Mus musculus: one gene and its partners. Each later gene encodes a partner of the first gene's protein in a complex. Links are inferred from orthologs where the notes say so. Each region holds a gene or a part of one and is shown on either strand. Other genes may lie near its edges.

What was found.
Region 2: Gtf2f2 (region 1) and Ercc2 share a complex: the UniProt entries of both Homo sapiens proteins name them as parts of the TBP-based Pol II pre-initiation complex. The link is inferred for Mus musculus from reciprocal best matches to the Homo sapiens genes GTF2F2 and ERCC2.
Region 3: Gtf2f2 (region 1) and Polr2g share a complex: the UniProt entries of both Homo sapiens proteins name them as parts of the TBP-based Pol II pre-initiation complex. The link is inferred for Mus musculus from reciprocal best matches to the Homo sapiens genes GTF2F2 and POLR2G.

Annotation. Positions count from the first base shown.
Region 1 is NC_000080.6:76,008,057-76,011,752, reverse strand, and holds the start of Gtf2f2 (general transcription factor IIF subunit 2), read left to right. Parts: upstream 1-887; 5' UTR 888-1,007; coding exon 1,008-1,073; intron 1,074-3,696. UniProt on the Homo sapiens protein: TFIIF is a general transcription initiation factor that binds to RNA polymerase II and helps to recruit it to the initiation complex in collaboration with TFIIB.
Region 2 is NC_000073.6:19,380,593-19,384,339, forward strand, and holds the start of Ercc2 (general transcription and DNA repair factor IIH helicase subunit XPD), read left to right. Parts: upstream 1-1,424; 5' UTR 1,425-1,462; coding exon 1,463-1,467; intron 1,468-1,686; coding exon 1,687-1,786; intron 1,787-3,351; coding exon 3,352-3,429; intron 3,430-3,506; coding exon 3,507-3,569; intron 3,570-3,709; coding exon 3,710-3,747. UniProt on the Homo sapiens protein: ATP-dependent 5'-3' DNA helicase. Component of the general transcription and DNA repair factor IIH (TFIIH) core complex, not absolutely essential for minimal transcription in vitro.
Region 3 is NC_000085.6:8,796,318-8,800,064, reverse strand, and holds the start of Polr2g (DNA-directed RNA polymerase II subunit RPB7), read left to right. Parts: upstream 1-1,507; 5' UTR 1,508-1,594; coding exon 1,595-1,606; intron 1,607-1,731; coding exon 1,732-1,841; intron 1,842-2,669; coding exon 2,670-2,829; intron 2,830-3,747. UniProt on the Homo sapiens protein: Core component of RNA polymerase II (Pol II), a DNA-dependent RNA polymerase which synthesizes mRNA precursors and many functional non-coding RNAs using the four ribonucleoside triphosphates as substrates.

The DNA of each region.
Region 1 (3,696 bases):
AAAAAGTACTCAGCTGACCTTCCCACTCCACCGACTTCTCAGAAGGAAAAGCCCCTTCTCCTTCATGCACTCTTAAATACCCTTCACCTCAAACTCTCTCCTTTCTCTTGCTCATGTTCACTCTCTTGTCAGCTGGCTACTTGCTCTGCCGCCTGATCTAGGGTTGACTTTATTTAGCTCTTGGATTAATGTGCGCGCTAGGTAGGGGTGAGCCAGGCTACCTATACTTGTTTACAGTAAACAGAAAGTTCTAGGATCAAAGGCTGAGCCACAGTTATTAACAGATTCTTCCAGTTCACAATCTCAGGGCTCATAATGTGATCCAATATCCTGCAACCGGAAACTGTTTAAGCAGGGCAGTTGGATAATCAGATCTGTTTCTTACATGGTGGGTCTTACCAACTCAATTAGATGGCATTCAGGTTTCGGCGTCTGAAAGAGTGTATGCTGCTTGCACGGTGTGAATTGATTTTTATGCCTCGAAAAGGCATGTGTCCAGCATACTCACTTGTACTCTAGTGCCCACTTGTGCCAATGTTAATTGGGCCAAGAAAGTGACTTTTTTTACCCCCAAGTCTGTCCTTAAAATGCCTAGCTTCTTTATCTAGGGTTGGGTATAAATACACACAGCTTTTGTCTGTCTAAACCTTAATCTTTCCACTTTGTCACCTTTGCTGTAAACGCACGGTTCAGGATTAGGCTCTTCCTTTCCCAGCACTCGAATCCCAAGATTGCACGTTGCCGGGAGTCACGCCCATCTAGGAAATTGCCGGAGCAGGAAGTTTGTCCCTCTCGGCGCGCTGTCCTGACGTAGTCGTGCGCAGGCGCAGTTCTTCATTCGGCGGCGTGTTCTTCTCATCTAAGTTCCTGGTTCCCGGGCTGTGTGCGACGCCGGCTTTTCGCGGTCTACTTACTCCCTTGGCCGGCTCTGGACTGTCGCTCTCTGCCTTTCAGCGCCGGGACCACTGCTTGTGCGCGCACTGCACGCCTCCTCACGCGACAAGCTCATGGCGGAGCGCGGGGAACTCGATCTGACGGGCGCCAAACAGAACACCGGCGTGTGGCTGGTCAAGGTGAGTGAGACGCGAGCCCCGCGGGGCGCTTCCGAAAGTTCTGGGTCCGTCTTGCTCGGGCCACCGCTGTTCTGAGAAGCGGGTCGCTGTTGCGTCCGTTTGCAGGTTGGAGAAGTTACTTTAGGGGACACAGGGCGTCTTTCAGGCCGTCTCTCAATTTCATCCGCCCACCATGGAACTAACTCTCTTTACCGCCAAGACCTGGCCTTCCTGGAGTCCTGACCCGGTGGTCCCCGAGTGGGCAGTACATTTACCCCAGGTCGGAAAAGTCCTTGCGGTTTTCTTTTTGGTAAGGTTAACTTTAGTTATGAACGTGTATAAATTACTTGAATAGATATTCCGTACAGTTTTCTGGACCACAAAGTGGAGCTGGTCCCTGTGTACTCTGTTGTTTTGAAACAATCTCTCTGTGTAGACTTGGCTAGCCTGGAACTCGCCATGTAGACTCCTGTCGCTTTACACGGCTAGTGTTGCCTGGGTTGGTAATTCAATTGGAGCCTTCGAAAGACCTAGAAGTTCTGAATTCAAAGAGAAGTTGTTGACTTCGTGTTTTTAAAGAGCGAGTTTAGGATTCATGAAACCAACCAGCAGTAAATGTTTTAAGTGGTCATGCGGCAGACCTCGTTTGCCCCAGTGGTCGCCATCTATTCGGGTCACTTTTTTTTATATGGGGTGGGAGGCTCTGTGGGGAATCTCATTCTGAAAAACCATATTTAAATGGGATCATGAAAGTTTCCCAAACTTGTTTTTTAAATGGTTTATCTTTGTAATGAGTGTTTTAAGTCCATGGCTGAGTTCTCATCAAGACAAAGTGTTTCTTCCTGTCCTTTTCTCTGAAACAGCTCTCGTCGTTTGCCAGCACAGCAGACTATGTTAAGTTCTTCAAACCCCTGAACAGTTTCTAGTGCTCCTTTGTACCTGTCTGTATCTATTGTTGATGCCCCTACCCCCAAGTCACTTTCTTTGCACTTTGATTAGTGTTTGGCACATATTACTTTTCCAATATGTGATGAATATAAGAAATTGAAAAGGCACACGCCTTTAATTCCAGCACTCGGGAGGGAGAGGCAGGTGAGTGAGTTCCAGGACAGCCAGAGCTATACAGAGAAACCCTGTCTCGAAAAACCAAAAAGAAAAAGAAAAGGCTGTATGTCAAAGAGACACAAACTAAAGTGGGTAGGAGTTAGTCCTGTCAGTTTCATCGGCGGGCGATTAATGAAACACACCTCTGGGTGTTTCTGGTGCTGTTTCTGGAGGCAAAGTAGGTCACAGGGCTATGATCTAATTAAGGGATTAGTTACTCTGTTGGTGGATTTATAATGTGACTTCTCTGGGAGGTAGTGAAAGGTAGTGGGGCGGGGCCTAGTTGGAAGAAGTAGATTCTGGCTGTATGTTCTTAGGGCTGCCCTGGCCCTCTCTGTATCTCCTCTATATCATGGCCACTGTGGAGTGAGCTGCAGCACTTTTCCTTGTTTTTCCCACCATGACAGATAGAAACTGAGATACCCAGTGCAAAATAAATCTTAAATTGTTTCTGTCAGATATTTGGTCACAGTGACTAAGTCTGACTAAAACAGAGAATACAGCAAAGGGTTATAAGTAACAGGAAAAACGAAAACCTATTCTCTCCTTTCCTTTCCCTTCCCTTCTCTCCCTCTCTCTTCATCTCTCCCTCTCTCTCTCTACCTTTCTTAGTTCAGGCTGGCCTGGAAGTCTCTGTGTAGCCCAGGCTGGCCATAAACTCATGGTAATTCTCCCACCTAGGTGTGTGTTAGAGCACCTGTGCTTGAGTATTTATGTTAGATAAATACACAGATATATATCTTAGATAAAGGAGAGCTACCAAATAGACAGGACTGTGGTGTGCACACCTTTAATCTTAGTACTTGAGAAGTTAGCCTGGTCTACATTGAGTCAGGGGAATGTTGTAAGACCCAGAAACCAGAAGAGGGCATTGGATCCTCTGGTATTACAGGTATGGCTGGTTATGAGCTGCCATGTGGGTACTGGGAATTGAACCCAGGTCCTCTGGAAGAACAGTCAGTGCTTTAAAGCTGAACCATCTTTCCAGCCCTTATCAGACTTAAATAGCAAAACCATTAAAAAGTCCATATGGTATTTTGAGATACATTGTCCACAGTCTCACCTAGCTTTATTTCTGAGTTGTATCACTAGCCTTAGATTCGGTTTTCATATCTGTAGACAAGGGAGAGTACTTTGAAGAGTGATTGAGGGGATGAGTGGGTGGAGGGGATAGAAAGTCTACAAGGAGTCTGACAGAATTGTCTCCTCAACCTTCCTCTTTTCCAGCCTCAGGCCTATCACCTGACACACTTTGGTAGTCTACTAAGTTAATATCATGAACATACAATCAGCCTTTTTTACTCCTTTTTTAAAAAAACTTTAACTGTAATCAAAGTACTGTACCCCCCCCATAATCTTGCTAGACTTCCTTGTCTCCCCTTTGCAGCCCCAACACCTATGTCTCAGTCTGAATTCATTGTGATCACATTGTTATTCCAAGATTACTACGAGAACTAATGCTGACAACTGACAGTCAGTGAATACTTATTCTCCACAACACATATGCTTCGTGTTTTATTAAAGTCTCTTCTTTGCTTCT
Region 2 (3,747 bases), on another chromosome or scaffold:
AAAACCAAACCAAAAAGAGGAAAGAAAGAAAGAAAGAAAGAAAGAAAGAAAGAAAGAAAGAAAGAAAATAGCCAGACATTATGGTATGCACCTTTAATCTCAGCACTCACTCCGGAGGCAGAGGCAGGCAGGTCTCTGTGAGTTCAAGGCCAACCTTGTTTATAGTGTGAGATCTAGGACAGTGTCAGAACTAAGTAGAAAGACTCTCTCAAAAAGAAAAGGGACTGGAGCTCAGTGATTAAGAGCACTGACTGCTCTTCCAAAGGTCCTGAATTCAAATCCCAGCAACCACATGGTGGCTCACAACCATCAGTAATGAGATTGGATACCCCCTTCTGGTATATCTGAAAACAGCTACAATGTACTTATATATAACAAATAAATCTTAAAAAAAAAAAGAAAGAAAAGAAAGGATGAAATGAAGGGAGGAAGGACTAAAAGGTGATATTTGAGCAAGAATCCAGAGATATGAAATAACTGACAGCATTGTCCAGCCCTCAGGTGGGTTAGCCACAAGCTGGGGCCAGCCACCCAGGCTATAGAGTGAGCTCCGGACCAGCTTGGGTTACATAGTACGACTGTCTACTGAGGCCTGTACCTCATGAGATGGCTCATGAGGTACAGGCCTTTTGACCTGAGTTCGATTCCCACACATAGTGGAAGGAAAGGACTGAACCAAATTCTGCAGGTTTCCTCTTCCTTCCACAGGCCAGAGGTATTGGATTCCATGGAGCTAGCCCTAAAGGTGATCGATCATAAGCTGCCTGATTTGGGGGGTGGGAGTGGAGAGTGGGGCGGCTGGGAACCCTGCTCCTCTTCAAAATCAGAAAGTGCTTTTAACTACTGAGTGATTCCTCCAGGCCCTTAATTAATGAAGTTTTGTTTGTTTGTGACCTATGCTTTAACGTCTGAGCCATCTTTCCAACCCATATTAATAAATGCTTAAAAACACGTGCTAGGCAGGGCAGTGGTGGGAAGCAGAGGCAGGTGGATTTCTGAGTTCGAGGCCAGCCTGTACTACAGAGTGAGTTCCAGGACAGCCAGGGCTACACAGAGAAACCTTGTCTCGAAAAAACAAACAAAAAAACAAAAAAAAACACCCGAAAAACAAAAAAATCAAGACGGTCTCCAATTTCTCTGTTATTCTCTCTTAAACACTATTTTCACGACTTGGACAACCAGAACAGAACCTGGAGGAGCGAAGCAGCAATGAACTCTATCGATTCTCTCGACTCTCTTCTTTCTGTGTTCTGCTCGAAGTCCTCGGCGATCCTCAGCGATGCCTCGGGCACCACTTCTCTCCGAAGTCCGCCCTCTCACCGCCATGCGCACGCGCCAATTTTCCGATTGGCAGAGTGACGGGAGGACTCGGCCAATGGCGTCCCGAGGAAGGTGTGTCTCTGGGTCACGCCCCCTCGTTGAATATTCAGGAGCGGGCGTGTGGACGCCGCGATCAGCCGCCATGAAGTGAGATGGGGTCTCTGAAAGAGCGGGCGGCTCTGCGGTGGGCAATGGGGCGGCGGGTGGGCGTCGCCGGGGCTGGGGCGCGGCGTGGAGAGGCTGCGGAGACCGGTCCGGGTGGCTTCGGGGTCCCTGGCGGCGAGACGCCACGAGGGCGGGCGGGCGGGCGGAGCGGAGGCCGAGGCGGCTCGAGAGCACCGGGCACCGACGCCTCACCGCCGCCAGGCTCAACGTGGACGGGCTGCTGGTCTACTTCCCGTACGACTACATCTACCCGGAGCAGTTCTCCTACATGCTGGAGCTCAAGCGCACGCTGGACGCCAAGGTGGGTGGCGAGGCTGCCCTCCTTGCATTCTGATGCCTCTGGCAGGCAAACGTCCTGGTCGGGGCCCGGGCCTTGCTATCCCAGCACCCGGAAGACCCAGGCAGGAGCATCGCTGCGATTTTGGAGGCCAGCCGGGGCTACACAGCGAGACCGTGTACTAACAACAATTGTAAATAACAAGGCGAGGAATGTCGCTCAGTTGGTAGGGTGCTAGCCTAGCTAGCAGGGGTGAAACTCTGGGTTCCATCCTGGCACCGCATAAACTGACTGATAGTAATTACAATTATGCCTGTAATTCTAGAGACAGGGTGGCTGAGGACAGATTGCTCGAGTTTGAAGTACAGTCTGGGTTTCATAGTGAGTTTCGGGCTAGCTAGGGCTATGTATAGGAAAACTCTGGAGGTATTCCTGGTAGTGACAATAGTGGAGGGAAGAAGGGGTTCCGTATGTGGAGGTCAGAGGACAACTTTGTGGAGTTGGGTTTTTCCTTCCACTTCTATTTCGGTTTTGTTTTGTTGTAGATTTATTTGTTTTATGTATGTGAGTACACTGTAGCTGTACAGATGGTTGTGAGCCTTCATGTGGTTGCTGGGATTTGAACTCAGGACCTCTGGAAGAGCAAGCAGCCAGTGCTCTTAACTGCTCAGCCATCTCTCCAGTCCCTCGTTGTGTTTTCTGAGACAGGGTTTCTCTGTGTGATTTTTGCTGTCCTGGAACTTGTTTCATAGACCAGGCAGGCCTCAAAGTCCCAAAAGATCCACCTGCCTCTGCCTCCTGAGTGCTGTGATTAAAGGCATAGGCCAACACCACCCAGATTTCTTATCATTTTATGTGGGTTCTAGGGATCAAATTCAGGCTGTTAGGTTTGATAGCAATCGCCTTTACCTGCTGAGCTATTTCAACAGCCCTGAACACAAACTTTTTAAAAAAAGTTTTCTTTTAGGTATACTTATTTCCAATGTGTGTATACATGCTACAGTGTGCACGTGAGGGTAGAGTTGGTTCTTTCCTTCCGTGTATGTCTTGGGGATTGAACTCGGGTGATCAGGCTTGGCCACAAGCACCTTTACCCGCTAAGCCATATTGCTGGCCCACCAATGTATTAGCCCTCACAACCTTGTTCCAAGTAAGGTTTATGGAGCTACTTAGAAGCAAGAATGCTGTGATCCTGAGAGGTAAAAGGTTCCTACTGTCTGCTGCTCAGTAAACTCATTAGCTGTGTCAGTAAGAGGGCCACAGAAATAGGGTTCAGCCTGCAGTCCCAGTACTCAAAGTAGAGGCAACAGGATTGCCAAAAGTTCAAAGCCAGCCAGAGATTCTTAGTAACTACTAGGCCTGCATAGCAAGATCCTTTGGGGTAGGCGGGTGAGGAATAAGAATTAACAATTAAAAGTCCAGCAGAAGAGGAGGAGCGGAGACTATCAGTCCTGGGGCCTTGACAGCGATGCCACTGCTGTGTGTGTTGCCTTGCTGTTCCCGGGTGGTGGCATGTCAAGGAGAGTTCCCCAGAGCGTACGTTGATGACAGAGAGCCTGTGTCTTACTACTTCTGTGCCCAATTTTCAGGGTCATGGAGTCCTGGAGATGCCCTCGGGCACTGGGAAGACAGTGTCCCTATTGGCCCTGATTGTGGCCTATCAGCGGGTGAGTGGCCTTCTGAGTGCCTGGAGTGGGGGCTGAGGGGTGGGGCTGGATGGGGCTGAGGTCCCTGTCACCCACAGGCTTATCCGCTGGAGGTGACCAAACTTATCTACTGCTCACGGACCGTGCCAGAGATTGAGAAGGTGGGCAATGCAGATGGGACCCATGCTCTGCCCCCTCCCCTGGGCCTTGGTGGTCCCCCATCTCTGCCCTCGGTAGCCCGGTGGGCAAGGACTTGTGCTTGCCCTGTGGTCCCCACCTAATGCTCCCATCATCTGAGCAGGTCATAGAAGAGCTTCGTAAGCTACTCAGCTTCTACGA
Region 3 (3,747 bases), on another chromosome or scaffold:
TCTGCTTCAACTAAATGTTCCTTCATGAGTCTGCCTTACTCTTTCACCTGTGTCCACTTCAGGAAAACACTCCTTCACGTGTTAGCTCCAGCAAAATACCTTCCAACACAACTGACAAACCTTAAGCTTCCACTTTACCCAGGACTTCAAAAGAAAAGGCAAGAGAATTGTTAAAAGTTCAAGGCAAGCTTCCTCTACAAAACAAATTCCAGGCCGTCCATGGCTACATAATAAAACCCTGTCCCTCAAATAGAAAAGAAAGTAAGCCTAGTGCATGCCTGCAGACATAATCTTTTTGTTTGTTTGCTGTCTTTTTGGGGTTTTTTTGTTTTGTTTTGTTTTTTAAGACAGCCTTGTTTATGTGCCCCTGGCTGTCCTGGAACTCACTCTGTAGACCAGGCTGGCCTCAAACTCAGAAATTCACTTGTCTCTGCCTTCCAAGTGCTGGGATTAAAGGCGTGCGCCATCATGCCCAGCTAAGTGATTTCTTTTTAATTATGTGTACTTAATAATGTATGCTACCTATGTGTGAGTATGAGCCTATGAGTACTGGTACCTTCTGAGGCTACGAGAAGATTTCAGGTCCCCTTAGAGCTGGAGTTGTGAAATGCTAGTGTTAGTAACTGAACTCAGGTCCTCTTTGAGAGCTTTATTTTTATTTACATGTAAAAAAAAAAAAAACCGTTATTCTTATTTTATATGTGTGAGTGTTCTGGCTACAGCTATGTCTGTTCACCACAAGGGTGCTGTGTTCATGGAGGCCAGAGGGCACTGGATCCCCTGGGATTGAAGTATAGATAGAGAGTTGAGTCAGCATGCTTGTGCTGGGAATCAAACCTGGATCCTTTGGAAGAACAATCATATCCCCAGCTGCCTAGCCTTTCTTTTTATTTTACAAGCATGGGTGTTCTGCCTGTATGTGTGTTTGGGTACCACTCACATGCAGTGCTGAAGGAAGCCAGAAGAGGATGTCAGCTCTCCCTGAGCTGGAGTTACAAAGAAGAGTGTGAGCTACCCTGTGGGTGCTGGGAATTAAATCCTGGACCTCTGCAAGAGGAGCAAGTGCTCTTAAGGACTGAGCTATTTCTTCAGCCCCCAAATTAAATAATAATAATTTTTTGGTTTTTTTTAAATATGTGTAAATGTTTTACAGGGTTGTATACACAGCCCAGGTTACCCTGGAACTCACTTTGTAGCTGTGGCTTAGCCTTAAGTTTAGAGATCTGTTTGCCACGGCTGGGTTTAAGGGCATGTGGTAAAAGTCAGACCTAAAATAACTCACATTTTTTGGTTGGTTTTGGTTTTGGTTTTGGTTTTGGTTTTGGTTTTGGTTTTAGTTTTGGCTTTGGTTCTTCGAGGCCGGGTTTTTCTCTGTAATCCCGGCTGTCCTAGAATTTGCTTTAAGTAGGAGGGGAGTATGAACGGTGGTGGGCAGGCCTGAGGGGCGGGGCTTCATGTATCCCCGCCCATGACGTTAAGACTCAATCAGCGCTGCGGAAGCGACCGCAGAGAAGTGGTGGGACTTCTGCAAGTGCTTCCGGAGAGGTCTCTGCGTGGGAAGTTCTGGGCGCTGCGGGCCAAGCTTCTGCAGAAGATGTTTTATCACGTGAGCTGGATGCGGGGTAACTGTGAGGGGCAGTCACAGGAGGATCCTGGAGGCCCGGAAGGGCCGACAGGTCGCCTCCTGTCCTCAATGTGGCTGGCTGAGTCTCCATCTTCCTTTCTCTGCAGATTTCCCTGGAGCACGAGATCCTCCTGCACCCACGATACTTCGGTCCAAACTTGCTCAACACGGTGAAGCAGAAGCTGTTTACCGAGGTGGAGGGGACCTGCACTGGGAAGTGAGTTTCTGCTTCACAGAGAGGTCTGCTGAATGCACGCACAATGGCGCTAGTCTCTAACCTCTTCTTAACTCCTTCTGTCAGGGCTTGTCGCTTACTCTGAGGAACCCTTTCACCCCTCCAGGCACCTGAAGCAGCCAGTTTTTGCCTGTTTTAGACACTCTGAAAAGCTACTAAAGAAAATTTTCTTCCCTTATGTGAGATAAGACCGTTATTATGCAAATGTTTTTGAGTTTTGAGATGGCCTCACTATGTGGACCAAGCTGGGCTCTAATTCAGAGATCTGCCTGCCACTGAGTGCTGACATTAAAGGCTTTCATCACAATTCTCTGACTCGTTTGTGGTTTTTGAAAGACCTGTCTCAGCTTTGACCCTGGCAAGTCCTCCTGCCTTAGCCTACATGGTACTGAGAGAATAGGTGTATGTCAGCATATCTAGGCCTTCTTGGGCATTTACTGTACCATCATGAGAGCATCATTTAATATTTCATGTGCTAAGCTGGTCGGGGGTGGCGCATGCCTTTAATTCCAGCACTTGGGAGGCAGAGGCAGGTGGATTTCTGAGTTCAAGGCCAGCCTGGTCTAAAGAGTGAGTTCCAGGACAGCCAGCGCTACACAGAGAAACTCTGTCTCGAAAAAACATATATATGTGTGTGTGTGTGTGTGTGTGTGTGTATATATATATATATATATTTAGGTGCTAATCTGTGTCCTGTCTCTTCTTGATCAATGAACCATCTGAACAGAGGTTCTTTCACACAGAGACTCTTATTGCTGGTGGCTTTTCAGAGGCTCTTCACATAGCTGTCTTCTTTCATTTTTCATGCAGATATGGCTTTGTAATTGCTGTCACCACCATCGACAATATTGGTGCTGGTGTGATCCAGCCAGGCCGAGGTTTTGTTCTTTATCCAGTGAAATACAAAGCTATTGTTTTCCGGCCCTTTAAAGGTGAAGTGGTGGATGCTGTGGTCACTCAGGTCAACAAGGTAAGAGTATTATTCATAGAAAGGTTATGGGGTATTTCCTAAGGTGAGGGTTCAGTCCCTAGTCCACTTACTAGTTGCCTTAAGTCTTTTGTTGTTGTTAAGATTCATTTTATCTTAGTTTTTTGGTTTTTCTTTTCTGGTTTTAGGGTTTTCTTTTTTCTTTTCTTTTCTTTTCTTTTCTTTTTTTTTTTTTTTTTTTTTTTTTTTTGAGACAGGGTTTCTCTGTGTAGCCCTGGCTCTCCTGGAACTCACTCTGTAGACCAGGCTGGCCTCGAACTCAGAAATCCACCTGCCTCTGCCTCTCAAGTTAAAGGCATGTGCCACCACTACCCAGCAGGTTTTTTGTTTGTTTGTTTGGTTGGTTGGTTGGTTGGTTTGATTTTTTGTTTGTTTGTTTGTTTTTGTTTTTAGAGACAGGGTTTCTCTGTGTAGTCCTGGCTGTCAGTTTTGTACTTTTGTTTTTGAGGCAGGGATTCACTGTGTAGCCCTGGCTGTCCTGGAACTTACCCCATAGACCAAACTAGCCTTAAACTCAGACATCCACTTACCTCTGCCTCCTGAGTGCTGGGATTAAAGACACGAGCCACCACCACCCAGCAATTTATTTTAATTTTAACTATGTGTACTTGTATGTTATCTGGGGTGAGTGCAAGCCCATGAGTGCTGGTACCTTCTGAAGCTTCAAGAGGGTTTCAGGTCCCCTCCTACCTGGAGTTGTGAGACCCTGGATATGGATGCTAGGAATTGAACTCAGGTCCTCTGCAAGCACGGTTATGCACTCTTAATTATTTAGCCATCTCTTCAGTCCCTTAGGTCACTTTTTGGTTCTTCACTTTCCTTAACTGTCTTTCCATCTAACTTAGCTGGGGGTGTCTTCTGAATTACAGAAGTAGTCGTGCTACAATAGAAATCTGCATT